2 linked regions of the Schizosaccharomyces pombe genome follow. The gene in region 1 interacts genetically with each later gene. Each region holds a gene or a part of one and is shown on either strand. Other genes may lie near its edges.

Region 1 (15,734 bases):
TTATGTATGCAACCTGATGCTGAAGAAAATTGTGAGTTATATACAAAACTAGCATTACAGATTGATGCCACAAACGCTGAAGCTTTACAGACACTAGCATCTATGCGTATTAGTCAACAAAAAATAGAGGAAGCCAAAGATGCTTTATCTAAATGTTTGCAATCTATTTCTAGGGCGGCTACGGAGGATAGTGTTGATCTCCCTACCTATGCAGTTCGAACATCCATTGTGAGGCTATTAATTGAAGTTGAAATGCATGAAGAGGCTCATCAACTTTTGGTATACCTTCAGAAAGAGGATGATCAAATTTTGGATATATGGTACTTATTGGGCTGGAACTGTTATGTAGAAGCTCAAAACCTACAAGAACAGGGTAATGGGTCTGAGGAAGAAATAAAAGAGCTTCTCATGAATGCAAAGTTTTATTTCATTTCGGCCTTAGGTGTATATCAAAAAATAGGATGGGATGATGAGGGCATCAAGAGTCATATTCAGGAACTACTCGAAATTTTGAATGGCCTTGGTGTACCGAATATGGACGAAGAAAACGAAGAAGCTGAGTGGGAAACTTCTGAAAACGAAGAGGAAATGGATGAAGATTAGAATTTTGTGTGGTTTCCTTGAATAAGTTGTCACTTTTAGGGTTTTAATTTTTGGGTATTATAGGTTATCAAAATATAAATATAGTCCGTCGACATCACATCCTTCATAACTGTGTATCCGAAAAGGGGTTCTTACAATACTGAAGTTTCTAGACTATTAGCTTTTTGGTGTAATCCTTCAATGTTGTTAGTTAGTGCGTAATAACAGAATATTATACCTTTAAGTTTATAAAGTTTAGAAGATAAAATTTTTAAGAATCCCCAGCCTTTGATTTTATGCCAGCAAATTGGCTGTAAGAACCTCATAGCTTCTGTTAATGGATCATCAGTGATTAGCAGCTTATGCCCAAAGTAGTCTTCATCAATAACCAACGGCTCTTCACTTTCAGAAGGGATGTAACTTTTAATCTTATCCTCCTCTATTTTTTGCAATTTCATGATTTTCTTATTGTCCTCTCTAGCGTACGCAATTTGTTCAACTTCCGACATATGGGATATCTCTTCAGCTTTATTTCCGTACATATTAAACTTGGATTCAAACAACAATAGGTATATGGTAAGAGCACCAAGAGTAGCTCTCAAATAATCTGTTGAAGACCACAGGTTATCGGACCACTCTACTAATTCAACGTATTCTTGAAATTCACCGTCCTCTGCACATTGTGTGAAATAATCAAATTTCAAAAATGACCATTTTTTGTAAATTTGATAAATAGAATGGAACCTTTTCAAAGCTAGCCCATATAATTTCTGCCGTAATAGGGACTCACCATCTTCAACTAAAAACCAAACACATTCAGTTTCTGCTAAATAATTGCATACCCCGCCAAATCTGAATCGTGAGAACTTAGACAAGACAATATAAGCTTCCTCATTTCTATCCATACGTATTAAATATTTTGCATATTTAGAAGCTAGAGCACGGTCACTTTTATCAAGTTCCACTGACCGTTTAAATGAGCACAGTGCCTCTTCAATTTCACCCATGCACAAGAAAATTTTTGCTTTTGCCAAAAAAAGTTCTGGATAAGTCGGTGTATGATCAATTGCTAAATTGAGCCAATAATTCGATTCTTCATAATCACCTAGCTTATAGTGTGCGAGGCATAAGCAATAGGTACACCATAGTTTATGTGTTGGTATATTTTTAGCAGAATCGCCTTCTCTAAAATTACTCAACATAGTAATTAACTTCTTAGAGAACGCATCATTTGTTTTAAGTGGGATTTTAAGTAAACTGATGAAGGAAGGAATAAAATGATGCATGGAATACGAGATCAAGTGATTTAAACAAAAATCGTAGTCCAGATTTTTGGAGAGCAAGAAAATTAAAACAGATATACCAGTCTGAAGAATCTCTGAAAATGTTTTAATTAAGGAATCAGTTCTCTTTAGCAAGAGATCAAGAGCTAAACCTCCACTTTTGTAAAAATTCCATAAACTATTCAAATATTTCTCTGAATAATCTAAGCGATTTGGAAACTTGATGAGCAAACGAGCGTATAGGTATATCGATTCTTCGTAGTTTTTCTGGCGAAATGCAAAGTCAGCCTTAATATGCTCAAAGTTGAAGTTATTTAAGAATGAATTTTGATTCATTAATAAAATTTCTAACACGGTTTGACTACCGTTTTCGATATGCTCGCATATTCTAGGTAAAAATGAAATAAGCCTCGAAACAACTAAAGGGGATAAATTACATGAACTGATTAAATATTGAATTTGTTCCAACGACTCTTTATAATTCCCAGAAAGAAAAGCAGACAACGTAAAACATAATCGATATTCTAAATTACTTGAATCCAGTTGCAATAGTCGATTCCAATTATCAAAAAGGGGTTGATACAAACCAAGTTGAGCTTGCAAATACGCGGCATCGTACCACAAAGATTCATTGTTAGGAGATATTGCTAATGCATTCTGATAGCATTTAAGTGAGTTGTTGTAATCTTTGGTTTCTCTGTAAACAATAGCTAAAGCATGCCAACAAAATTGAGATTTAGGATCGATAGAAGAAGCATACCCACATTTCAAAAGTGCACTACGACTATCATGCAGTTTGCAAAGATTTAAACCTAGCAAAGCTACGGAGTCGGGATGTTTAGGCTTTTTTTTTAATACTGACTGGATAGTTTTGAGACTTTTGGAATATTGTCCCTTTTCAAATTGATCTATAGAACGATCAAAAAGAAAAGCTTCTTTTTCGGACAATTTACTCATCGAAGGATAAGACTTTAATTGAACACCCTGCTGCTAAGTCAATAATCACGTTTATAATATTGCATGCGCCCTATAGGAATTGTAACAGTAAATACTTCAGTGCGTATAACAATTTGATCTGAAAATATAATTACTCCAAAAATATGTAAAAATGTTACAAACAAGTAACCTGAACCTGAATATTTTAGAAGAAAATATATTTTACCAACGCATCAACGAACGATCGGCTGAGCCAAGAAAAGTGATTTACGCATAAATAACCAAAAAAAGATCAATAAATTGGTACTAAACTTATATAGTTACTCATAAATACCCAAGTAAAAGTATCACTGATTTTATTTTTAAGTGTTCCTCATCAACTTAGTCGAGTGAAAGCTGAAGGTTTTTTCCTGGTTCTAAGCGACAACTAAATTGTATAATTATTAACAAATGTCTACCCTATCTCCAATTTATATTCCAATACCTTTTGGAAGAGTGTCTTAATTTTATTATAAAAAACAATAATTTTGCAAAAGATACTAACGACTTTGTAGTTTCGCATTAGTTAGAAAAAAAAAGAAGATTGGCTGAAAAATTTTAATTTCCTAAAATATTTAAGGATTGAGCAAAGGAATAGAAACGGTAACGGAACCTAACTATAATTCTTTAATCGTTTTATCATAGAAAATCCAAAGCTTTTCACATTTGCATTCCAGGGGTTTTGCCGTAAGGGAAAAATCGTTAGTATTCTAAATAGACAAAAGATTATTTCTTGATAGTATGAACGTAAGGGATTCAATCAAATATCGAATAAAATTTACAAGAATTATGTCGGTTAAATCACATTCATCACTGTTTGATTGTGCTTCTTAAATACTAAGTCTCAGTATTAGCCATGTTAAGTTGTATTTCCTTTACTCATTATGGCTAATCAAGAATTAACAATTTAAGACATAAAGAATATCAACGAAAAGATAATAAATGTCTTTTGCTCTAATTTACTTCTATTTTCTGCAAAAGATCATACAAATAAATCTACTATTGTTGGCATACACTGCATTACTCAAAGTAGCAAAACCTTCAAATAACAATGAATTATACTAGCGGTAGCAATACCAAATAATGCTAGCATCTTAATTCAAGATTGACAAATAACGGAACGTCTATAAAGTTGTTTTAAAAAATACGTTGATTGATGAAAATATAGTTACATTACTTTGATAAAGCTTTATAAAATACCTTACCCCTTTAGGCATTGCATCACTCGTATATTGTCTGACATTGAACAAAAAAAATACTTTGGACGCATCAATGAGTTTTGTAGTAGTTTATGTGCTACAGACTCTGTAAGATAATGAAGTTGATCGCAATACGCTATCGTAATGCAATCGACGGTGTGCCATGAGTATACATTATAAGCAAATTTGAAGTTACATTTTGCATTACTCATATTATGATTGTTTCAATAGTTGATTATGGTAGTGGAAACGTTCGATCCTTAATCAATGCCGTTAGGTATTTAGGGTTTGAAACACAATGGATCAGGAATCCCCATGATATTGAAAAAGCTGAAGTATGTCATTATTGTTTTTAAAAATGTTGTTACCATCTACATTATAAAGGCTAAGTCAAATCGGTTTTTTTTTTCGTTTTCATCAAATACTAATCTATACTTTCAGTGCTTGATTTTTCCTGGTGTTGGAAACTTTGGTTTCGTATGCGATTCCTTAGCAAAGCAAGGATTTTTAGAACCCTTGCGTCGCTATGCTTTGTCTGGCAAACCTTTTATGGCTGTATGCGTTGGAATCCAAGCATTATTCGAGGGGTCTGTTGAAGCACCACATTCTAAAGGGTTGGGCGTATTTCCGGGGTTAGTCCAAAGGTTTGACAACGATGACAAGACCGTCCCTCATATTGGTTGGAATTCTTGTGCTGTACGATCTGACACTTCAAAAGAGTTTTTTGGTATGCGCCCACATGACAAATTTTATTTTGTGCACTCTTATATGATTCCAGAAAAGGGACTTATCCTTCCTCCAGAGTTCAAAATTGCTACCACGAAATATGGAAATGAAACCTTTGTAGGTGCTATTGTAAAGAATAATTTTTTAGCTACCCAATTTCATCCGGAAAAAAGTGGATCTGCAGGTTTGCGTTGTTTAAAGGCATTTTTAACCGGTAATTATGAGCAACCTATAAGTGGTGAAGCATCTAAACTTATAGAGAACTCCTTTGGCGGATTAACAAAGCGTATTATTGCTTGCTTAGATGTCCGTTCCAACGACGCTGGTGACCTTGTAGTTACAAAAGGTGATCAATATGATGTCCGTGAAAAATCTTCTGGAAGCGAGGTTAGAAATCTTGGAAAACCTGTGGAGTTATGTCAAAGATATTTTCAAGAAGGCGCTGACGAAGTCGTTTTTTTGAACATCACTTCATTTAGAAATTGTCCAATGGCCGATGCACCTATGTTACAGGTTTTAGAAAAGGCAGCTCAAACAGTATTTGTACCTTTAACAGTAGGTGGTGGAATCAGAGATGTATCAGATCCTGATGGGACTTTTCATCCTGCTGTCGAAGTTGCTGGTATTTACTTTAGATCAGGTGCCGACAAAGTATCTATTGGAAGTGACGCCGTTTATGCCGCAGAAAAGTATTACGAAAATGGGAAGAAATTGAGTGGAAAAACTGCTATAGAAACAATTTCTAAGGCCTATGGTAATCAGGCAGTTGTTATTTCGGTTGATCCTAAACGTCAGTATGTAAAAGTTCCTGAAGATACTAAACACCATGTTGTGAAAACATCTCGGCTTGGACCTAATGGAGAAGCATATTGTTGGTATCAGTGCACCGTTAAAGGAGGTCGTGAATATCGTGATATTGATGTTGTTGAACTTACTCGTGCTTGTGAAGCAATGGGTGCTGGTGAAGTACTATTAAATTGTATGGATCAAGACGGTTCAAATGCTGGGTATGACATAGAACTTGTTCGTCTTGTTAAAAACTCTGTGAATATTCCAGTAATAGCTTCAAGTGGTGCTGGTATTCCCCAACATTTTGAAGAAGTATTTAAAGAAACGGATTGTGATGCAGCTCTTGCCGCCGGAATTTTTCATCGACAAACTTGTCGCATAGAAGACGTCAAAGAATATCTGGCAATACACGACGTTCTGGTTCGCACTTAGCTAGCGAAGTCCGTCTGAATTACGATAAAAAAATATTTGTATCTAATTCCTTCCCCTTTTAGCACTAAATTAGATGTCAATAGTGCACTGAAATTGCATATGCCAATAAAATTTGTTTTGGATAATATAAATTTTTATCCAGATTATTAAAACTATCTGACATAGAGTAGTATTTATTACTTTATGTAATATTTACTCAGCAGAATTTTTGCATATCCTCTTACGTCTTTATCGACTAAAATTATAAAACAACTGTACAAGATGGCCAGTGAGGGCGCGGACAGGAAGTATACCAAAAAGGGGACTTTAGATTCTCTCCAATGTTTTACGAGGAAGCTGCTTATAATAGACAAAAGAATTGAAAGAGCTAGCAAAAAAGGCCTAGGAAGAGACCTCGGGAGACTAAAATCTTTATAATTGTGAAGAATAAACCGTAAGGCAAAACATATCCTCAGTGATAAATTTAATATATTTGCAAGGATTAATCCATGAGAGCCTAAATTAAACCATGATAGAAGGAATTTTCCAGTAATAAAATAAAATACAGCGGAAGCCAAATAACACTTCCCTTGATCATACAACTGAGAAGAGTTGGCTGCTGAAACATAAAATGCTTCCAACACGCCGTTTGCAGCCATAAACGGAATATACATTGCGTACCAAGATAAAATGCTAGAGCTATCAGGAGAAGCCCACTTACTTCCTGCGCCAAACAAAAGAACAATGTCCGAGTAATTACTTCCAAAAAGGATAAACAAACTCATATAAGAATATAATTTTAAAATCCATGCCAACAAATTTAAAGCCTTTTTTTCATCTTTTTTGTTCTTATAATGCGTTAACTGAGCAAAAACAATGTGAGAATGGTCCTCTACTGGTCGAAACACGATTCTCGCCAATAAAGAACCATAATTGGAAGCTAGCGCATACGGACCTTGAGCAGAAGGAGAAGCATACCATGCTACCATTATCTTATCGCCCTTTGTGATTAGGTGTTTTAACAACACTTGATAAGTATGTGAACAGATTATTCGAAGAGTAGAACTATCCCAAAATATATACCTCTCGTTTTCTCCCACTTTGTGGAGAAATATGGAGAATGGCTGTTTAGCAAAATACCTTAAAGTAAAAAAAATGGTTACTTTTTCTGACAAGTTACCGAGGGCAAAAGGAAGACTTGACGGTGCCTTATTCCTTCCTAAAACAGAAATTGCAAAGGACAATAAAGAGCAAATAATTGTTCCAAGTCCTTCTGCTGAAGCAGTCTTGGAGAACTTCTGGCGCCATTGAAGAACTTCATAGTATGGTTCAGATAGCAACTCAATGAAACTAGAAACGGTGTAAATAAAAATACATGTTTTAGAATAAGGAAAATTAGGAAGTGAATAGAAGTAAAATAAAGAAACCAGAAGCGATATTACGATACCAATGTAAACACTGATCAAAGAAGTATTCTTGATCAATTGCAACTGATCACTTAATTTTTTTGATTTGTTTGACTCAGTAGAAGTAGAGGTAATTATTGCATTTTCCGAAGGAATTCTTTGCATAGCTAATCGAACCGACTCCCTGCTGAGGAAAAGGATCGTACTCTGTAATATCTCAAAATGAATAGAAGAAAATGCATAGGCGCTAGGACTAGTTAACCGAATGGTCAGTTGGTTTAAGAAGAAAGTCAATATTCTCGAACTTCCTTGAAAAAATATGGAGGAGCGCAGTCCCTTCGAGGACGACTGCAGCAAAGAATCAGATTTATCCATTAGCTAGTTGGTACTGATCTAGATTCAAAGAATTATACTACAAGTCAATAGTTGTTTACCTCTTTCTTCCATTAATGTCCCAACTTTTTTTATGTAATTCGTATTCTAACTTATAAATGAGATATTTACTTGGTGGATTTGGCGCATAAATGGGTGTCTCTTGAGCGCGCAGTTAACTTTTCAGGACACATTACTAACATAGAGCATTAAGGAATTCTACAATATACTTGAGTTAACGAAGTAGAGTTGCCATGTTTAACCCGCCGGCTATACAGCCATATTTGTATTAAAGATGCGTTAAAGTACAGTAAGCTTCTACTGCTTGTAATTCATATGCTGTTAATACCAGGTTACCTTAAACTTCCATAAGTATAATAATCACAAACCCATTTCACGACTGATTTTAAGGACGTAGGTACAATTAAAATTCGTTTTCCTATTTTATAATTTTGTGGTTAGATAATTAATAGTAAATCAGATACTCAAGAATATACAGATGATTATTACTGTATACTAAAATTTTTTTAGGCTGAAGAGTGTTTGATGTTTAGTGAAGCGTACCGTAAATTAAGCATTGCTGGCATGTAATAACTTGGACTACTTCTAGTTTAAGGCATCATTCTACTAAGTCTGAAAGTTTTTTGTTTGAAACTCATTAAGAACCTTTGTAGACAACTTTCTATTAAAAAAAATAGGTTCTTTATTTGTACTTAGCTTTACTTTTGCATCTGCTTTTTAGCTACAAGTTTGAACAATTTACTTGTGTTTTACACCAATACTGGGACTTATGCGATTAAGCTTTCTATTTTAATTCTGCTATTATTTTTTTTTGTCATAAACTTATTTTGATGACCTTGATGATTAAATTGTACTAGAAAAATGACAGAAGGAGTTACTGTACAAAAAGTTCAAAGCGCTAGCTCGAATGGGCACAAACCCAACACAGTAATTTCGCAAATAATCTCAGAGATGCAATCACTTTTGGGTAGCAGTTTCGAGGTGTATACTAAAACAATGACGGACTTCTTAATTGGACAGTTGAGCAGAAAGGAAATGAAGTCGATGCTGTTAACTTTCGCTGGAAAATCAAATTTTGGTAAGATATAAATTTTTATTTAATATTGTTCTGACACTTTAGATAAACTACACAATTCAATCATTTTTCATATTCTCAAATTGATGCAAAAAAATAATGATACCTTTAGTGCTCTACATCATTTACCTTGGTTTAAACGGAAGAAAGTCGATAATAGTTTATTTTTACATAAAAAAATTAGTTCGCAGAATGCACAGGTTCGATTAATCAAGCGAATAGTAATGTCTTTAAGTTATAAAGACCGGGCTAGGATCAAAACTGCTTTAAAAGTAGGCTTTATTATAAGTCTTTTTTATCACCTTTCTAACAAACATATCTAGGAAAAGCCAGTTACACCAAGTTTGATCTCAGGATTGCTGCTGGAAACGAGAATTGCAAAATTACCTAAAATTCCTGTATCCCGAGACAAGCTGAATTCAGGTAAGCCTATTCTTTAATAGGTTCTAAGGAAGTATTCAAAAGTGTAACCATTTAATTTTTATTAACGGAAATTTCCTTTTAACCACAATTTGGGTAATATTTTCACTAACCTCATTAGTATTTGTAAATGATATTAAAGCCGGCTATGTTGCACCTCTAGCATGTGAAACACTTGAACTTCCAGATTCAGAATCGTTAAAAGAACGAATTACAGCTATTTCTCTTGAAAATGGCTTATTGGGTGGTGTACAAAAGGGTGTGTCTGATATTATATTGGCTGGGTTAGAAAGCCATCTAAAGAACATTCTAAGCAGATGCTTTTCTATATTAAACAAAAATATTCGACAAAAAAATACTGAAAATGATGCGGCAGGTTTTACCATTAATGACCTTAATCTAGCATGGACTATTGAACCTCATGCTTTTGTCGAACAGTATCCACAGAAGTTAAGAATGCCGTTTTTGCTTCATGATAGTTATACTGAAGATGAAATTTCAATTTGTGCAGAATCGCCAAGCTACATGCTTGCAAGCAATGATGCGCAAAGTGATAGGAATTCTGTTGCTTCCCTTTTAGATGAAGTGCTTTCATAACCGCGGAGGTTCTTTTTTTTTTAATCTAATCGTCAGAAGTGCTTTATTTATTTACAATCTTAAAAGCTTCAAGGGCTATTCTTCAAGCGTTTCAGCTCGCAAATATACAAGACTTGATTATCCTTTTAAGTTAGATTTTTTTCACATATTTTTTTTTTTTAATTTATAGTAATGAATTTAATATATAACAGGTTGCGAAATATGTAAGATGAAGCAATATAGATATTCTAAAATACGTAATTATCCAGCAAGATTTACCGACAGAATACTATTATTGTTCAAGATTTGCTAAAATATAGTATTAGTAAAAACTGTTTAAATACGATCATCAGTATCCATATCGATGCCAGCATAAGGCGTCCGGAAATCCTGTTGTCTATTACTGAAACTTTCACTTTCGCCAACAGCTTCGTCAACAGAAATGCGCTCATCGTCCATCTTCTTTAAAGATGTTTCTTTCATTGTAACGTCCTCATGAGTAGTTTTCTCATTTTTACCGTCCTCCGAATAAGATCTACTAGTAGCCATCTCTAAGGTGGCATTGTCCATAGCTTTGCGGTCGTCAGGATCTTCCCAAAATCTGCGGTTACCCTTAAAGAGGCGACGTACCCATTGAGGCAATAAACCCCCCTCGACACGCCATGTCCAAGCTTCTTTTTGATTATAGTCAGCCGGTACAAGTCTACCGCGTGACATTTTGTCAATAGCATAAATAATGGAGTTTAGTAGAGCGTAGCAAATAATACCGGCAATCAAGCCATACGCAATCGAGTAGGTAAATGGCATCAAAGCAATTGTAATAAAAGCAGGAATGGAGTCACCAAGGTAACTCCAGTTAATCAATGTAGTACTCTTCATCATCATACTGCCGACAAGTACTAATGTAGAACCGGTAGCCCAGACTGGAATACTTGAAAAAATAGGAGCAAAGAAAAGAGAAATGAAAAAGCAAATGCCTACAACCATACCTAAAATCCCTGTTCTACCGCCAGCCGAAATACCAGACCCGGATTCAATAAAAGCAGTAACAGGTGAGCAACCAAAAAGTGACCCAATAGAAATACTTAAAGCATCGACGATGTAAGCAACTGCGGATCCTTCAAAGTCTTGAGTACGAGGATCGACCAAACCAGCATAGTTAGCCATTGAGTAAAGTGTACCAGTCATATCCATAATGTCAACGTACAGAAAAGTAATCAGTGCAATGGCAAATTGACCGCCTGTAACGTTCCACTGTTGGGCAACAAGAATACGGTTAATTTTTCGAAAGCTAACAACCTTTTTGAAAAAATCAAAATTATAATCCCCTGTAAGCGTGTGGGGAAACATAGTTACTAATGAGCGTCTAGGCCAACTTGTGATAGTGACAAGTGCGATTCCAGCAAGGACAGCACCTTTAAATTTGTACATCATTAAAATAGCAGTGAGAACACCGCCACAGAATATACCTACCCACATTCTTCCTGATTGTAATTGATGACCGTTGCAGCTATAATCAGCGTTTAGGTATTCTGGAGGGCATCCTCCTAAAGCGACAATATCAGATGAGGAATGCCCAATGACTCCTAACCCAGCACTTGGACTGAGTCCGATAATTGTGAGATACAAACCAATACCAGCACCAGTAGCAAATTTCAAAGAGGCAGGAATAACTCGCGCCAGCCATTGGCGTAGACCTATAACAGTTAAACCAGTAAAGATGAATCCTTCAACAAAAACAGCTAAAAGAGCTTCTCGATAGGAAACACGTCCAGTGCCATTATATCCGACAACTTGGTACGCAAAATAAGCATTTAAACCCATACCAGGGGCCATACCCACGGGCATATTGGCAAAAAGACCCATGCAGAAAGAAGCGAGAGCAGAAATGGCAGCGGTGGCTGTGACGAGATCACGATGAAAGTCTTCTTTGCAAAGTACATAGTCATCAAGTTTGTCACAATCATCACGATTAGCTTCAGTACATTCGCAAGTGCCGCCCGTATCTACGAGAATGGTAGCATTGACAGCCAAAATGTAAGCCATTGCAAAAAAGGTAGTAAGACCAGCACTAATTTCGAGAGAAAAGCGACTGCCTTTACGCTCCCGAGGATGACCACATCCCTCTAGACGAAACCAACGTCCGAATGCCGAACGAGCGACGATCACGTCGAACTCTTCGACCCAATTCCTTACTTTTTGTGTGATGCTCATCTTCTCGATAAACTAAGGAAAAAAAGAAAAGAGGATTGAAATATTAAAACAATAAAAACGAGAATACTTATAATATATGTATATATATTACACTAGGTATCCAAATAACCTGCCGAGGATAAATAAAACACAACAAATCAACGGAAAGATCCGTGTTAATGCTAAGCAAAAAGCCCTTTTCACAAAAATAGATTACTTATTAAAGATACAAATATTAGAGAAATCCCAAAACCCACAAGGAAAGAAACCGATTTTGCTTCCAAACCTCAAAAACAGTAAAAGCAATTTAAAAAACTTTTGATGAAATTGTAAACAAAGATCGAGATAAAAGCAATCTAATCTTTAAAGTTGTTTGATCAAAGCCGTTTTCTAAAATCCAGAACCTTTTCGACCTACCACTAATCTAAAAATTTTCTGCTAAGCGATGAATCTCGATCTCAACGTGAAGATTGAAAAAACTTTATAATCCTTATCAACTGGATGCAAACCTACACCTAATTAAGTACAACAGTGAGTTTTCAGTCCAGGACCTCTTTATTACTGCAAAGAAATAGAAATTGGTGTTTAGAAAAAAGTTTGTAAAAAATGCAAAGTGTCGCTGATGGACCCAAGGACTGTTAAATACTAGTCAAATTTGGGCGCTTATATTTAACAGCCAATAGCTGTGCTATCAGATACTGCGTCAATTTCGCTACTTCAAAAAATGAGATAAACTCAAAATTCCACTGCCAATAACCTACTCCAAAGATATAAAAAATTCTTAAAAGTAACAATGATAACATTAGTAGTATTCTTCACAAATAATCGACATGCGAAAATTGCAAGAATACAAATGTATTCTGAAAAATAAAATGAAATTAAGCAGCCAAAAAAGAAAGAAAAAATGAAGATTACTAAAACTATTTTTGAATTCTGTCTTTGCTAAAGTTATTGCTTCTCTTTCTACTACTTGCATTAGTAACAGGGGGGTTTCATGTAGATAACCCTCACATACTCTCTCACGTTGACGCTGAATGCTAGGAGCAAAAAAATTAATTAAACCCGTTTTAACGACTTTAACTTGAGCACACCACAGGACTTTGTAAGGATATTGTAAATTGGTCCGAGCCATGTTTAAGATATCACCTATACAAACATATTTATATCACATTTGTTCGTTTTTGCAATCGCTTATCAAAATTCATGCAATTATAAGATAATTAAAGTAAACGAAATCATTAAGGTAAGTGATTATAGATTTAATACTTGTGCTCGTTCGTTTGGTGAGTTTTCTCTGACGGTACAGATACAAGATTATTTTGACTTGAATACCCCCATTATTGAACCTTCATAGTAAAAAGAAAAACACATGTGGGGGACATATGCTGGTAGGTGCAGCTAATACTAAAAGTTAAAGTGGGGAAAAAGACCTTACTGGGGGTACATAAGTTTATATGCTATAGAAGGTTAGCAAATGATTTTAACTGTGGTATGAAATTAAAGTGGGATAAAAAGACTTCAGTGGGGGATTCAAGAATTCATTTAGGGAAATCCTTGAAGTATGAAAATTTGAAACGATATAGATACAAGTAAACTACGCATAATTCACAAGGCGGTATTCGAAAAATGAAATTCTTAAAAGACTATCAAGCGTTATTTTATTATATTATTATTTACTACTTTTTTTTTTGTACTAACAGCTTTACTATATCTTTTTCTTAATGCAGCTACCAGGATATTTGTACTGCAAAGCACCCGACTGTAATGTTCACTCTTAATACATTCATTAGTAGTTTTTCCAAATCCATATGTTTTTAGCCGGCTAAGGTATAATGTACTTTAAAAATCGCTGCTGATCTAGTCAAAAGTTTAATGGAAATCATCCACTGTATTACGAAACATATAGTATTTTTAACTGTGTCGCACTAATTAAACAAAGGTTGTAGCAGCTTTTAGGCAGCTGGGATGGATTTTTCAACCAAGATAACAAAACCGTCAATTATTAGACAGGAATCCAAAATTATTGATTCCTTTTTATTATTGCATTTTCAATTCCAAAACATGCAAAACAGAAGAGATGTCAATGGCATCCCGGTAAATAAAAGAGTCCTTTTTTTAGAGGGGATGGGGACCGGCATTTTACCAATTTGGTACAAATCAGTCAATCTAACTATTAAATGGATTTGCAAGTTAATTCATTGGATCCTATGAGTTTAAGGTATGCTACTCCTAGTGTGAATGGTATTCTATGTTGATTGTTTATAGCTTTTCTTTCTACGCATGCACATCTGTTATGAAAGCACAATCATATAAAATTACACGGAATCATTGTTTAGCAATAGCACGCTGACAATTTCACAGGTCGCTTCAGTGCTATTTTCTATTTACAAGCCGTGGTAGTTTAATTATCGACATTATGTTATTTTTTGTTGAAAATAGCAATATCAAGTGTCCTTCGTAGTCGCTTCATAAAAAGTCAATTCTCTTTGTACCGAAAATTAAAACCCATTCAATTGCTGTCTTTCGCTGAAATTGTTAAATTACTAACGACCTAGACGGATTCCAAACAAAAAACGGAAAACAAATTTTTTTTTTTTTGTCAAACGATTTTTTTTACTATCTGTGTTCAGCGGAATGTACAACTTTAACCCTTCCGATAGTTTAAAAAAATCCCAGTATCAAAGGGAGTAAAAAGTAACAAAAAGCTTCCGTTGAATGCTACGACTTGTAGCCACATTTTTTAGTCCCTAACAATTATAGCGAGATATATTTGCTTCCCGCTCTAATATAGTGTAGTGTAGTTTAGATCCGCTACATCACATGTTACCAGCAAAAAAAAAACATCAGATTTTGCCTACAATGAGATGATACGATTTGTAAAAAAATCTCGTGTTTTCAAGAACACCAGCAAAATATATATATCGCAGTTTTAACCTGCATTCCGCAGTTCAAAAACATCCAATTCCTCTACTTTTCAAAAAGTCTTTCACAACTTTAGGGTCAAGCAATCTAGCTTAATCTTTAATCCCTTCTTGTAATAGTTTCAATTGCAAATTATTGTAGGCACTTAGTTTTTGGTTGTTAAAATAACAAGGTCTTGTTATTGCCGAATACAATACGTCTCAATTTTTTGACATCTTTTAGTGTTCAAACTTGAAAACTTGCAAGTTTCTAATTTATCTGTAATTCCATTTGTGTCTAAAAACACCGACGGTTATTACTTTTGTTCTCGCCTTCCCTTCTCCCTTGAGACAGATCGATATAATTTATCAATTTAATTTTGTTGGTCCATACTGATCAATTTCGGATTTTTTCGTTGGCGAAAGTTCCGTTTCTTAAAAATTAACTACATCTCGCTGCTTAAATCGGTAAATCGACAAAGACAGCCGCGCAAAGCTTGTACCTTAAACTTTGCTTTGCATTATATAAATTGTCACCATCGCAAACTAGCTCACCGAACCTCCGCCACAATCGTTGTGTTTGATAGTTTGTTTTTCCCAAAGACAAATTATTGAAAATCGAACAAATAAAGAGGTTTGTTTCGTTTAAATATCCTTTTTATTACTTGTTGTTTTAAAAGGTTCCTTATTGGTTTCATCGTTTTTCAATTGTTTGTATAAATCACATTTCTTGCCGTTTGTGATTTGTATATATTGTACCAACTGTTTTCTTTCTTCAGTCTAGACACATAGATATATATTCGCAT
Region 2 (15,530 bases), on another chromosome or scaffold:
TAAATTATTAAAATACATAGGGCTCATAACGGTAAATTAAACATGGGCATTATTTGTACCCAAAAGAAGGGCTCTGCCTTCAGCTAAATAGGCAGCCGAGGTTTCATTAAACAGATCATCATCGTTTTCTGAATTCAGTGATGAATCATCAAAGTCATCGGAAGAGCTGGCACTGGATGATTTGCGCAGCGTAATGGAATAAATGAATTGTCGCAACCTATATTTTAAAGAAATCATAGAAAAAATAATCGGCAGTAGTATAAAGGTTGGATAACGTTTGCTAATAAGATTTCCAAGTGGTAAGAGGTCAATACTCTCACCATAGAATTGATGGAATTGGGTGGGATAAGGTTGTAGAGAAACAAAGTTATAACAAAGAGGAAGCGTTAAGCGACAAAGTTGAGATGCGAAGTATATCAAGGAGGCCGTATTTGTAGCTCGGAAAGGAACTAATGCATAATAGTAATGTGGCGCAAATTGAGTTCGCATCAAGGATTTGTACGTGCAGTATCGCATGTAATAAACAAATAAAAACGATACAAAAATAGAAGTGGCAGACGAATTGGTAAACTTTTGTAAGATAATACCAACCAAGGAATATTGAGTGTGCAAAAACACTTCTGATACCACAATGATTACACTCATTGAAGCCATAAATATTGAGAACAAAATTCTAAAAGCTGGAAGAATCCAAACGTAAAATGCATATGCAACGACAGGGTGTATTGGAATATATGAGTCTGGTAAGTATAGACGATAAGAGCCAGATGCTTTAGCAGTTTTGATCAGCATAATACGATTATATTCTTTTACCATTTGATTCCAAGTAGTTTGTAAAGCGATCACGTTAGACATTCCATTTGGAGAACTGTGAGGATTGAATGCGTGATCAGTAAGAGATGAAGTAAAAAAATCGCTGCTAGATTGATTCCGGCCGTTATTTAAGCTAATGGATGAAGATGGTAAAGAGTAGCTCTCGAGCCGAGCTTGAAGTTTGCTGTATACTCCGACAGCCTGGCGCTCAAGAAGCGCGGCACGTTTTGTAATAAATGCCTTTTTCCACATACTAACCGGGACATACACAAAACCATTTCCCAGAAGAAATATGACAAATAAGAGTCCCCAAAAGTATGTAAGGGAAATCACCAATTCTTTAAAGTTGGAGAAAGACATAGTTCGCAAGGCGAATCGCAAGTACGCAATTACGACACATGTCAAAAATGTCAAAAGTAAATAATATCTAAGGTTTTTGTAAAAAGAATCACTAAGACGACTTCTCGGCGTTGAAAATTTACTTTCCATATAACCTTGGACAAAAGGTAAGATGATCCAACTGAGCACGAATGTTAACCAATATAGGAATCGCCATATTGAGAGTGAAACATCCTACAAATAAGTTAGTAAAATTTAAACCATGAAATCAGTAGAAGAGTAATAATTGTATTCATAAAGCTTGAAGTAATTTCGATAAAGTGTAATCAATCTCGCAACAAGTTCAAGAAGGCTTTTAGAGGCCCTATATAGTACTTGAACAATTAGATGACTTCCAATTCTGTATTTGTATGATATTTAGCTACCTACCCAAGTTACGTCGATAGGAATTAACAACGTTACAACGAATGGTACATATAAGCCTAAAAATACGAAAATTCCAGGAATTGAAATTAAAGAATGTGGTTCAATGTATTTATATATCCAAATTAAGGTGAAAAGTGCTGGTATAAGTAATAATAGCAAAAGGCCCAACATTTCGATGAGGCAAACGGTAGGTGTGATTGGAAATCCGAGATGGGTCATATACACGGGAATTTTGAGGAAGTGCAAAAATACTTCAAAAATAGCTTCGAATATAATTTTATTATCTTGAACGTTTTTAAATCTTAATAAACACAAAATCCCTACATTGAACCAACTGCTCATCATTATTTAATTATGCTATCCACATGTAAATAAAGCGACGAATATGCACTAAATATATTGAATTTGATAAATATTTTTATTTAAAAAATAGCGCTTAAAAAATATTTTTACCAAACTTAATTATCCTAACTGTGAAACTACAATGTGAAATTTCGGGCATGTTGTCTACAAATTGAATATTTTAGTTTTTAGATTTCGTTTGTACCGTATATCATTGAAAATTATATCGCTTTAAATTATTTAAAATAATTCAAAATTTAATAAAAAAATTTTGATAGTATATATAAATCTCTCACGTCTCATTATAACAACTTGAAACTGAGTTAAATTATTTATTTTATAATGAATACAAAATCCTTCAAAAGAAAATTGCACATATTTATTAAGCTATTAAATAGCGATTAACTTATTTCAAGTTTCTATAAAGCTCAAATGAACTCATCGACCCGTTAATGTTGAGAATCACATGGTTAATATATTTTATTTACAGAAATTCCATTTGGGAGGTTTCCTCCCTGGAGGTTTAATTAATAAATGAGGATTTAAATAATTTATAACAATCAGGTTGGTAACAAAAGGTTTATAGTTAATTTTTGTACTATATTTGTTTATGAAAAGCTCAACTCAGAAGTATTACAGAACTAACAGATTCCACAAATTTATCAAATACATATGCTTCAGTAATCGGTTAAGAATTTTTTTTGGATTTGCAAACTTAGTGAATCTCTTAAATGCGTACATATTTACAAATTCGAAAAATACTTGTTCTACTTGATTCAATTTAGGAACATGCAATTTAAGCTTAATTGGAAATTTTAAAAGTATAAAAGAATGATCTATGGACCAAAGGGATTAAAAAATCGATCGCTTTGATGAATTCCAATTACTGTGGCATTGCGTTCTCTGCCAACTACCATAATACAACAGGTGAAGGGTCTCTTTTCAGAAAATGAGTGCAGACGAAGAGATCCTTGCTCATTATGGTTTGACAAGTTTAAGTCAAGACTACTGGACTGAGAAGCCGGACTTTGCGATTGCCAATGCCTCAGTAGATGTACAAAGTCCTACTACCGGTGTTCATCATGAACGTAATCGTTCAGAAGACATACTTCGTACGGGTGGGTAAGTATTTTGTTTAGAAATAATTACAAAGAAACTGGTGAATTTATTTTTCTCTAACGATTTTAGCGCTACATCCGAAACTACCAAAGATGCTAGTGCAGCTGGACCAGTAACACCATCATTTGCAATGAAACGTAGTCAAACGAGCGTCCAACCATCTATGTCATCTCAAATAGCTATTGGAGGTATGAGAAACCCGATGGCTACACGTAAAATCGCTGGGACATATCGCGATGCTCCTGATAACTCTATGCAACAGACGAGTACGGGAGTTCATCGATCATCTTCGTGGTTAACCACCGATGGAACTCATCAGTTATTATCGTTGATGGAAACAAACTTTAATAAATTTATTGCCGCGAAGGAAACTATAGATAATGTTTATGCTCAAATTATCAGCACCTTGAGTCATGCTGGACCCGCTAAGACAATGGATATGTGCGAAGAATCAATCTCAGGCGCACTTCAGCAACTTCAGCTTTTCAACACAGAATCAACTAATGAGGTCGATATTTCTTACGGTGAACTATTGGTCATGCGGGAGTGTGAGGCTCTATTCACATACCCTGAGAAATTTCGCTTATATCACAAACAAGAAAAATATAGTTTATTAATGCAGGAGATTGAAAATGCTAAAAAATTATATGAAAAAGATCGCGAACGTTTAGCAAAGGTCAATCCAAAGCTCGTGTATTTAGTTGATCATGCTTGGGAAATTATTCAAGCCACTATAGATGGCATTTGCGCCTCTATCTGGAATCAAATTTTACAAAGTCAAGGAGATTTTGCTTTTGTTGTCCGTACATTATGCGATTTGCTTAAATTAAAACCCAATCCCATTAGCGGACGGGACCCTGTACTATATGCTACAGTCAGTCAACAAAAATATTTGTACAATCTTATGAAGGAAAGATTTTCCTATTTTGAAAAAATAATTAAGTCTAGACAAGAAGACTTTTCTAAATTATCGTGCACGCGTGCATCGCCCATGCTGGTTTGGCGTGCTGTGGCTCGTGGATGCAATTTGGATTATACACTTAGGGGACGACCTGAAGTTTTTGCAGGAATGCAGCTTATCGAATGGGCGAATGCATGTGTTTTAAAAATTGTTCGTGAAATCAAGGAAGTTGAACTGTATGCCAAAGAATTCATTAGTGGCATTCAACAAGCTAGCTATCCAGAAGCCGCCAAGCATTATGGGCGTGACCCGAAGCAAATGGGTGTAGTGGTTGAGAAGTTGAATTCTCAGTGTTTGGAAATGGTTTATTCTTTTGTGGGTGAACGTGGTGAGCGTTTAGAAATGGATGGAGCCTTTGTTCTTATTCAATTACATTACTTCCAAAGAGTTGCTGATTTGCTTCCCAAACGCATAAGAACAGTATTTTCTATGGCCGCTACCCGTTGTATTGTTGATACATGGATGCTCCAACATGCGCCTCAATCCAAATCAGCTAATATAGAAGAGATGTTCATTGTAGATGCCAATGAAAACCAGGTATTGGAACCGGAATTAATGGTTGTGGATGTATTACGAGAATTGAATAAGCTGTACATACCACCTCATCGTGAAGAGATTGTTCGAGAGATTCATCATGCGTTTTATAAGGTTTTGTATGCGAATGCAAGGTTCCCCAGTATGAGCGTTTCGATGGCGAACTGGGAGTCCGATGTATGGTCTCTTGCTTCTTCTACCCTAATTGATTTCGTGCAGCACCGTAACCAGCATGATATGAAAAAGCTTGCTTCTAAAATGACAACCTCTCTACCTGTTTTCTCTACCTCCATTACCCGCTCTGATGTTTTACACTTCGTAACTCGACTGTTAAACTTGCGTTCACGTTTGGTACCTTACCAAAAGTTTCTCTTACAGACATTTCCTCTTAACGAGGTTTCTCCCTCCCTCGATCCGAGAATTTCAAAATCTCTTCGAAACTTGCAAGATCTTTATAAATTGTTGGCCATACGGGATACCAGTTTTTCCAATACCACACCCTCTTCCATATCCAAGTTGAGCATTCAACCACCGACCTTCCAATTGTTTTCCACTCTAGAAACCATATACTTAGAATTAAAAGACTCCATGCCTCCTAATGAAGCGGCAGATTGGATGATAGCCACAACGTCTTGTATGCTCGCTCAGTTTGCTTTACACTCACCATATGCCTTTTTCCACGACATTCCTAGTATTTCGCATTTCTTAAATAAATGCCTTCCACCTACCATACTCGACTTGCTACAACAAATCCAAAGAAAGGCAGAAGCCAGCTCCATAAGTCCGACTACGGAAACAGCTACGAAAACACGACTCAAGTTTCAGTTTATTGAAATGATCTTTTCATAATATTATATTATTATTAATAGTAGAATTACTTTACAATCTTTCCAAACATATATAAAATCATTTGCATAGCAAACATACCAAACCACATCAACTTCGCACACTGGATTCTTTGGGATATTTTGAATGTGAATAATAATATTCCATTCACCATCAATCTAAATCACCAACATAAACAATAATAATAATAATAAATCCATTAATAAACCAAGATGCCCAGGAGTGGAACGGGAAATGGAGTGTGAGAAGTGTCTGTATGAGTGCCAATGACACAAATTATTTCCATACATGGCGGAAAGGAACAAACAGTCGAAAAAAAAGAAACTCAACTCTCCAACCAGTGGTGATAGCTATAAAATGCACAAGGGAAGAAGATTAACCAAGGGAAGAAAAAGCATCTCGTCCCCGTCGAATCGAACACAAAACCCAATTTGATCCAGTACGACTTGTGCAAAACAAAACACCTTTCAACTCCACGAACCGGTCATAGAAATGAAGAACCATGTGTAATGTAAAAAAAACTATCGCGTGATGTGCTGCACCTGTGTTGTTGTTGTCGTCATTGTACGGGGAATAAAATAGGAATGCGATACAAAAGGCGGAAATGGAAAAGAGGAGGGAACGAAAACGTTAAAAAAGGGAGGAGGAAAATATATATTTCCAAAAGAGCAAATAACCTACCCCCTTTTGTTTCGTGAGGTTGTCATTGTCGAAATGGAAGGCTGTGGAAACTCATCAGCTGACTAAAAGACGATTGCACAATCGTGCGATTCGCTTACTGAGCAGAAGAAGAATACTTGGTGACGGATTTGGTACCTTCGGTAACGGCGTGCTTGGCTAACTCACCGGGAAGAATCAAACGAACAGCAGTCTGGATTTCACGGGAAGAAATAGTGGACTTCTTGTTGTAAGCAGCAAGCTTGGAAGCCTCAGTGGCAATACGCTCAAAAATATCGTTGACGAAAGAGTTCAAGATACGCATGGCTTGGTTGGAAATACCAGTATCAGGGTGAACTTGCTTCAACACCTTGTAAATATAGGATGAATAAGTTTCCTTTCTGTTTTTACCACGCTTCTTATCAGCAGACTTCATGGTATCCCTAGGAGCCTTACCGGCGGGAGCCTTGGAAGCGGGTTTCTTTTCAGCAGCAGACATTTTTTACGATTTAAAAATTGGTTGTCGAGAGAATCTCAAAATTGATGGACTGAACTAAGTAATTGCAATTGTAGGAATTTGATAATCCTAAACTTTCGTGCAATATCAAGTTGTTGGTATTAACTAACATGCCTGCAGGCGACGCGATGGTTATATACAACTTGGGCATCACAACCCTAACCCTGGTGTTTAGCCATGCGACGCGGAAACGTCATCTACAAGAACGCGTTAGACGTGCTTATACGGAAGATTAGAATTAGTATATATATGAAGGGTGCGCGCTCCTATGTCTCCTTTTCCCTATATCGCGACTTTTCGTTGTTTAGGATACCTTTTGATCCATACACGTATTGAAATTGATATAAACAATTGATCCTTAGTTGATAAGGAGATTGATTGTCCGTAAAGGCTGAAATTGCGAGAAAATTCTGTTAATTTCACCAAATTTGATCCATTCGCTGCTTCATCGTTGACTGTTATCTTTTTTCATTAAAGAAGGAAAAATCTTTTTTTTTTAACTCAAACTTTTATTTTTTTTATTTAGTTTCAGTATTTTTCGTCATGTCTGGAGGTAAATCTGGTGGTAAGGCTGCTGTTGCCAAATCTGCTCAATCCCGTTCTGCCAAGGCCGGTTTGGCTTTCCCCGTTGGTCGTGTCCATCGTTTGTTACGTAAGGGTAACTATGCTCAACGTGTTGGTGCTGGTGCTCCCGTTTACTTGGCCGCCGTTTTGGAATATTTGGCTGCTGAAATTCTCGAATTGGCTGGAAACGCTGCTCGTGACAACAAGAAGACTCGTATCATTCCCCGTCATCTTCAACTCGCCATCCGTAACGATGAAGAGTTGAACAAACTTCTTGGTCACGTTACCATTGCTCAAGGTGGTGTTGTTCCCAACATCAACGCCCATCTTTTGCCCAAAACTTCTGGTCGCACTGGAAAGCCTAGTCAGGAGCTGTAAAGTCAGTCGTCAAGTAAAACATTTTGAAAGAGGATGAAGGGAAAGACATTGAAAAGTTGTAAAGGACCTTTCTTTTTTTACAACCCCGCAATACTTTTTTTGGTTGTTTCTCGCTTCTAAACCATGTTTGGTTCTTTTTCCTTTTGAACTTTTTGCGTCTTTCTTTTTCTTTGCTGTTATTGTTTTCGTTATGCCTGAACTTTAAGGATGTTTTAGATGCAGCCAAGTCATTCTCTACTAGTTACTTTTACTAGTACTTGAAGGGCTTTTGCACAAGTAATTCCTACTTGAACTGGCTCCTTTGGTTTTTTTTATTTCTTTTTTATTCTCCCTTAATTATAATATTGTATAGTAATGAGTATATTTTTCAAAATCCTATATGAGAGTATGTATCAAATGAATAAATAGATTGTAGAGTGGAGATGAACAGATTGATGAAAGGAGTGTCATTAAACATTGAATCGAGCAGTACATGCAAAAGAATAGTACTTAATTTTTTTTTACAATTAATGCTTTTGAATTTCCAGAATTTTTTTTCGATGCAGTTTTTTTACTCTTCTTTCGTGAAACGGTAGACGTTTGCTTCTTTTGAGTTTTTTCCTTCGCCGATTTCGAAGCTCGGTCGCACCAGTACAGCACAATTCCAACTAAAAGACCAAGCATTTCATAAATTGAGAATGCTTAGATTTGGTAATTTTCACGTTTATTTTCCCTTTTTTTCTGTCTATATTTCTTATGGGCTATTTAGTCATTACGTCCAACCGATTGGTTAATGAATTGTACCCGGAACCGGTAAAGCCAGTTAACGAGAATATGTAAGCAATTTTTGGCAAGTTGGTGAATTTCACAAATTCATTTACCCATAATGCTGCTTTTATCGTTATTTATGGATAGTGATTGCTGTACGTCTCTTTATATGTTTGAAAAGAATACAATAAATAGGAAGGAGTTTGGAAAAAAATAGCTAGGTTCTTATGTAACTGTTTGATTTTTTTTTTTTTTCTTAGTTTTTTATTTTAATTTTAATTTTTGTTAGAAATCGATTTCATCGTATCTATTTAGGATTTTTCAATATTTTTTCTTTTTTGCCAATGTATTTTTATAGTTGTATGAAAATTATAATACTAATATCAGTCAATAAATAGCCATTGCAGTTTATTATTTTTATATTATATCAAAAAATATTAAAACATTATAATAAAATTTTTGCATGGCTCTTAGAAAAGCATTTATCGTAAAATTCGAGTTTGTTGGATTGTAAAATAGTAAAAAAATTCCAAAATATTGAGAATATATTCTGGCAAAAATTTCAGATTATTATACGGGAAAAAAATAGCCATAGAACAATTACAATTGTTACAGAAGTACAGAATTAAAAAACAAAAAATTTCATTACAAACATAGGAAAACTATTTGACACTACCGATACAACCAGCTGACGATGCCGTTGATTCCGTTAAACAAAAGTGTTTGAATTATTTTTAAAATGAATTAAATATATTAGTAAAAAGGTACGAAGAATTGAAGTTTGTTAAGTCTAGCAAAAATTTAGCGATAAACTTCAACAGTAAAAGGATTTGGCTTTACCAAAGGTTGATCATTGCGCTTCAGATCAATTGACTAACCATTTTTGTACTCCTTTAATCCTGTTTATCAAGCTCATCCATAAAGGTTGAAGTGTACTTTGGAGGTTCATTAGATTGACTTTCACCAACGTTCTGGTTCAATGAGTCTGGTTTGTTTAAAAACTCAGACTCAGCATCTGGTTTAGGAATAGAAATATAATAGATAATCACCGTTATTATTATACCTATAACGCCAAGATTCAAAAAAACCCAACAAAAAAAAGAAAAACCATTGTAATTTTTTACATAACACACAATGTCGACAACGTAATTGAGGAAAAGGAAAATAATAGAAATATATAGAAGCCGGTGAATTATCTTATACTTTTCTTTTGCGACCCTTACACACTCTCCGTAGGTTAAATCCTTCTTCACATATAAATGAATGTCCAAGGACGCCATATCGAAACGAAAGAGAAAGAAAGATGCAAATTCAGCTATTGGAAATTAAACTTTATTCTTAATTGTAAACATTTACCAATCTTGAGTCAACAATAGACATAGGAAAATGAAATGCCTTTCCCGAACAGTGAGATTGAAAAGGCTAACTTCTCTTCAAACCCCTGCTAACTACTGCGTGCACAATCTATTAACCACAAATAATGAAATTCAATTAAATTAAGTTTTCAGCTACTGAAAAATCCATTTTTCTTATATTTTCAAATTTCGTGATTTAAAAGTGTTCAATTAACTGCGTTTTGTTAGACGAAAGATATGAGCCCAAAGGAATCCATCGAGTTGCAAGAATTCCAGTCGCTGCTTCAGGACGAAGCATATGAAGAGTTAATTAATAAAAAAACATATGAAGCTATTAAATATCGGAGTAATGATGGTATTTTACCAATTATTATTACTTTATTTATTTTCTCTTTTGTTATAAGTCGAATGATCATATTCTTTATAAGTCTCTTCAACAAAAATACGTACTGTGAACTGCCTGCTGTAGCCGATGCTATCATAAACAGCATAGCTTTAGTGTGTATTATAGTCATACTTTACTTCAGTTCTCGCAAGCTCAACGTTGAGATTCGACGAGGTGAAGTGGAAGACTATCGAGCAAATTTGGAACGAAATCAACGATGAAAAGAACAATTAATTTTTTATATTTGAATTGTATATGGGACTTTATGCATATACCGTTTTGCTAACCTTTGAAAAACTTATCAACCGCAATTCTCTCTAGTTGATAGGAGTTTATGAATTGTAGTAATGAGAAAGAAATTTCAACATCAAGAAAAGGAAGGGAGGAATTAGAGGGTGTTTAATTCTTAAACCATCTAGTTGAGATTGACATTTGACTCGTAGGGAAAACAAAATCGACATCGAATGACAAGCGAAATAGAAAATTAAGATTTACGATGAATATACTTCCTTTACGAAAAATTATTTACATCCATTTATAGGAAGAAAGTATGACTTCATGAAATTTCATTTCGATTTTAATTGCTGAGACTGGATTCTCTAATTTTTTTTTAGGTTCTTCGCTTACATAGTGTAAATAAACACTTGGATAGGCGTATAAAATACAAAACACATCCATAGACATTAAAACACCTAGAACTGAAAACAACCAACGTAAAAAAGGTGAAGGAGAGCGCTGAGAATCAAACAATTTAGGATACAAAAAGCATTCACAAGCATAGTGGATGGATAACACTGCAAAAGAGATAACCATAGTATAACAATGTTCTTTACTTTTGATCAATCTTAGGAGCATCATCTTTAGAACGGCCATACTGTGGCCATGTTTCTTAGTTAAAATGCAATGTGAACGGCACGTGTCACAAGAAACAAGAAAAATAGAACGTTCAAAGACCAAGTAAAAATATTGGCAAAAATTGTGAACGCGGTTTATAGATTAACTCCTTCATTTCGACTCAACGTTCAATGCCTCTATCAATTAAAACGAATACAAATGAATACTTAAACAAGTTTAGCAAGAAATGGAAGCTATTTAAAAAAATGTCCAGCAAAATTCAAAAAATAAAACAGTAAAAAGTGAGGTTTGTGGAAAGAAAAGTCCGTAAATGTAACTCTTAACTAAATTGTGAAACCCCTGGTCTGGTTTAAATATTTAAATCATCAACCACAGAGAAAGATTTTCCTATTATTCGACTTGAATTGATAGCAATATTTCAATCTGATAACTGAATTGATTTTCAGACATTAGAAGAACTTTGTTGACGTGGCTATTTTGCTTGTATCATATATGATGAGTCCAAGTGAATCCATTAAACTGTACGAATTCCAGTCGCTGCATTGAGGTACTGCGTACGAAAAACTGATTGAGAAAAAATCAGATGAAATTTCAAAGGGACATCACGAAAACTATTTATGGTTTGGATTTCTTCCTGGACTATGCTACGTGGATTTCCGCTTACTCATTATGATAGCAATTATGTCTGATGGCTTTAAGTCTCTTAAAACCGTGAAAGTAGATGTGTCAGATTTAACAGTAGATTTCATTCTCAGTTGTTAGCTTGCTATTCTATAATTCTCGAAAGCTCAAATTGAGATTCGACGAGGAGAAGTTGAGGAGTTTCAAAGGGATCTTGAACAAGAGAATAACTTTTCTTCTGATTACATTCAAATGAGTGACATTACACCTGTATACTAATAATTTGAGAATACATTCAATATGGTAGTTCAAAATGGAAAAATAAATAAAATACAAATTCTTTAATTTCTTTTGTTTTAAAGAAAAAAAATTGTCACACCAAGGAAGAATATAAATAATAAACCTATAAACATAACACAAAACAAAAACAAGGTCGATGCAAATGCCAAATGGATACAAAATTAACTAGATTCAAGAATTGTTAAGCCCTCTCGCGTATTTTTTTCTTTTTCTAGTTCAACTGCAGAGGATGAGGCGTACTCTAAAGGTTCATTAGATTGACTTTTAAGGAAATCCTGATTCTTTGACTCTTGCTTCTTTCGATAGTCAGGTTCAGCTTCCGGCTTAGGAATACTATTCAAATAATGAAATCCCATAAAACTTACAAGAAGAATTATTAAAGTCAAGAAAAAATAGACGAATAATAATGAATGACTAAATCCCTCAAAATAATACTTAACATCAACAACACAATTGGCAAAAATTATGAAAAGGAAAACGTACAAGAGCCATTGAGTTTTTTTAAACACATCGTTCGCAACATCTGAACACTCCCTATAGGTAAAATCCTCCTTGATAACTATTTCAATGTCAGGTTGTGTCATGTTGATAAATATAACACAAAATTTAGCAGATATTGGCCAGAAAATGAAAATGCTTTTGCATAAGAAGAATAAATATTTATCAAATAATACAGAATATTTAGGTCGGGATTGTGTAGGCAGAGAAATTGAATATATTGGTTGAATATCAAAATCGTTAAACCTCTGGTCTTGCGCTCCAATTACTCATTAACAACGATTGTCGAAATCCTTTGACTTTTAAGCATTTTATTTCATATTAATATTTTTTCGCAATTTTTCTTGTTTTTAAACGGATTTGTTCAAACTAGCTGTTTTGCCTCCCACAAAAATATGAATCCAAAGAAATCCATTCAACTATGGGAACTCCAGTCGTTACTTAAAGGTGCCACATACAAAAAACTAATTGAAAAGAAAACGTATGAAGCCGGTAAGGAACGAGCTGATAATTATGACTTTTTGTTTATGTCTTTTATCTCCTTCATCGTGTCTTGCCGTCTTTTCATTCTTGTGTTTACTTTCATCTTTAAAGGTTTTCCATCAGCTATTCAAGTAATTGCTATGATCGATGCTGTCGTAAATGCTTTACTCATACTCATAGTACTTGCGATGCTCTTTATAGGTTCTCGTAAACTGACAGTTGAAATTCGACGAGGTGAAGTTGAGGACTTTCAAGAGAATCTTAAAGCAAGAGAAGATACATTCAACTCTTCTCCATATCAGAGGTATTAATAACACCTTCATATATCGCTTTTGGGCACCTATTCCTTTACGCCTGTTTCACTTTGTTATAAAATATTTCGTTTCCATTCCGCTGCCTTTAATCTTATTACTCCTTTAATATTTATTCAACATTTAAGTCACTACTAATCTAAAAATTAACTTAATAATTCAATACTATTTTTATCTAAAACGTATTCGTTTCATAAACTTGTCTCGTAATGCGAAATGGAAGTGTGTTGAATACATCGACCCTGAACGAACTCATCTTCCAAAATTTAGAGCACTGTTCGATATACTGGTTTGTACTATTCCTATATTTTCGACACCTCTTCATATTTCATTTTGAACTTCAATTCATTTAATATATCATTCACAGATTAATTAATAAAATACAAATTATCATCTATTCTACATGTCTGCCTCAAAAACTCGGCTCACAATGTCACCGATTATGGCATTCTCCTTATTATATTAGACAAGCACTTCAAAAACATAATTGAAACAAAATATACGGCCAATTAAGGTGCTTCTTGAGCGGGACTGGACATTTGTTGCATAGGAATTTGCACCAAATCCTCTGGAACGGTGACTTTAAGCGGATGTTTCGACAAGAAATAGTAAAGGATGTTTCCAACAAGCATCAACGTAGAGCACAAAATTATGGGCAACCCGTGCTCCATTGTGTCTTTCCTGGATGAAGGATGCGACATTTCTCGAATGAAAGCGATCAGGCAGTAAATGAACGCAATTCCGAGCCCAGCAAAGTTACTAATCAAAAGAGGAAGTGTGTATTGAAATTTGTTTAAAGAGGACACCCATAACTTGTGAGAAACTTCTGGGTCTGGGGAAGAATTCGGTGTATTATCAATAATTGCTTCAAGTTTCGAGATATTTGCTGCCATCGTGAAACTGTTCAGCAGAAAGAAAAGAATCAAAACAGATGTCCAAGAATAGAAAAAAAGAAAAGAAAATCAAACTGTGAATGTCGCTCCTTCAGCGCTTTCCAACACCGGATTTCTTGCTTCGGGTAGGTAGGGTTCAAGGACATTTTCCACATTTGGGCTAACCGCAGTATCCTCCCTCTTTACTCAGTGTAGCAGCGGGTATAGTGAAAACCACATCGGAATGACGTTGTTGTAATAAAAAATACCTGAAAACTTTACTTTGACTTTTTGAAACGTACTTATTCCTAATTCCTTCCTGTAAATTCACTTTTCCTACGATGACTGTGGATAATGTATTCATCCATGCCGTCCCTCGCGAGCAAATTCGACGACGTTACTCTTACTTCGAAGCATTTGAAAAGAATTGTCATATACAAGGAATTCTTTCAAAACGAGCTCTTTACATGCTAATCCCATGCTTCATGGAGTTTGCGGTTGGCTCCATCGTTTATAGTTTTGGTGTGCCGGGATGGGTGTTGGGAATGAATACTGTGTTGGCGGCTGGATTCCTTGTGATGTTCCTGTTCCTTGTGTGGCCGTGTTTTCAACTTGTAGATGAAAGACAAATTGAGGAACCGGGAGAAGATGAAATGGCGCTCAATGCCGGTGGTTATTATCCTTATGCCGAAGAGGTACCTCCTCCCAGTTATCCATCGCTCGAAGAGGAGAACGAAGGAAACGAAGAAATAGAAGAAAGTGAAGAAATGAACACCCTTTTATCAAAATAAAAAAAGTGGTTCATATGAATGGTGTGACGGTGGCGCTGATTTTCAATCCGACTCAATCCATTCAAATGAGAATTCCGTAAATGCAGTGCAATAAGAAAGCATTGGGAATGTGATTAGCCAACGATATGTCTTACTGTGTTTGATTCTCGTATTTTCATTTAATTTATTGTGTCTCGAAGAACAAAGAGGAAATTACCCGCGATATTTATTTACTTACATTGGCGTTCCCTTTAACTTCCAAAACACTTTTTTTTAATCAAGGAGATTTGGTTTTATTATATTAAATTGTCTTTGTACTTGCAATTATACTTTTTTTCGATTTTTTATTTGTCGTTTACTTCCAACTCAATGAATCATGATCTTTCAAACATAGCTGGCCTCTTCAATCCTTGATGATGCGTGTTTGCATGTATATTTGCATACAATTATCCATATCCTTAGACAAGTACGGGTTATATATAGTATTGAGGCTACATCTACTGCTTGTTTAGCGTTGATAAAATTGATCGCACACATGCATAAGGCCCATTCACCATGCTTGCATAAATCGATTGCAGAGCTTTACCATTGTTTCCGACTAATATAAAACTAAGCAAAGATAGGAATTCCATAATAGCTCAGTTTTTCCACCTCGCAAACATTGCATTTCACTTCCTTTATTTATTTACTCACCTTATACCGAGCGCTCTAATACTGAGATAACGGCTATATTAAGAGTTGCCTTAGCGAAACGGGGTGCAAAACCCATAGTTATCCATGCGTCCCTTTATAAATTTTTTTAATGATGCGCAAAAGTGCAATGGTCTCTGTAATTCC

What was found.
Region 2: of hfi1 (region 1) and htb1, a mutation in one rescues a mutant of the other (synthetic rescue), as found in Schizosaccharomyces pombe (one study listed by BioGRID).

What each region holds. Positions count from the first base shown.
Region 1 is NC_003423.3:3,572,347-3,588,080, reverse strand, and holds hfi1 (SAGA complex subunit Hfi1/Ada1), read left to right. Parts: upstream 1-8,361; 5' UTR 8,362-8,625; coding exon 8,626-8,842; intron 8,843-8,884; coding exon 8,885-9,111; intron 9,112-9,162; coding exon 9,163-9,262; intron 9,263-9,380; coding exon 9,381-9,856; 3' UTR 9,857-10,048; downstream 10,049-15,734. Other genes in the region: protein acl4, read left to right, coding at 1-603; nat1 (NatA N-acetyltransferase complex subunit), read right to left, coding at 735-2,822; his4 (imidazoleglycerol-phosphate synthase), read left to right, coding at 4,255-4,374, 4,481-5,986; Man5GlcNac2-PP-Dol translocation protein Rft1, read right to left, coding at 6,163-7,746; SPOM_SPBC887.17 (transmembrane transporter), read right to left, coding at 10,172-12,049; SPOM_SPBC887.16 (uncharacterized protein), read right to left, coding at 12,831-13,160. UniProt on the Schizosaccharomyces pombe protein: Component of the transcription coactivator SAGA complex. SAGA acts as a general cofactor required for essentially all RNA polymerase II transcription. At the promoters, SAGA is required for transcription pre-initiation complex (PIC) recruitment.
Region 2 is NC_003421.2:1,403,490-1,419,019, reverse strand, and holds htb1 (histone H2B Htb1), read right to left. Parts: upstream 6,662-15,530; 5' UTR 6,537-6,661; coding exon 6,156-6,536; 3' UTR 5,384-6,155; downstream 1-5,383. Other genes in the region: lmb1 (plasma membrane LMBR1-like multi-pass membrane protein, human LMBRD2 ortholog, implicated in signaling), read right to left, coding at 37-1,386, 1,582-1,749; exocyst complex subunit Sec5, read left to right, coding at 2,870-3,042, 3,109-5,383; hta1 (histone H2A alpha), read left to right, coding at 7,098-7,496; SPOM_SPCC622.07 (uncharacterized protein), read right to left, coding at 9,137-9,523; SPOM_SPCC622.06C (uncharacterized protein), read left to right, coding at 9,836-10,204; SPOM_SPCC622.04 (uncharacterized protein), read right to left, coding at 11,921-12,343; SPOM_SPCC622.03C (uncharacterized protein), read left to right, coding at 12,653-13,051; SPOM_SPCC622.02 (uncharacterized protein), read right to left, coding at 13,561-13,944; SPOM_SPCC622.01C (uncharacterized protein), read left to right, coding at 14,265-14,714. UniProt on the Schizosaccharomyces pombe protein: Core component of nucleosome. Nucleosomes wrap and compact DNA into chromatin, limiting DNA accessibility to the cellular machineries which require DNA as a template.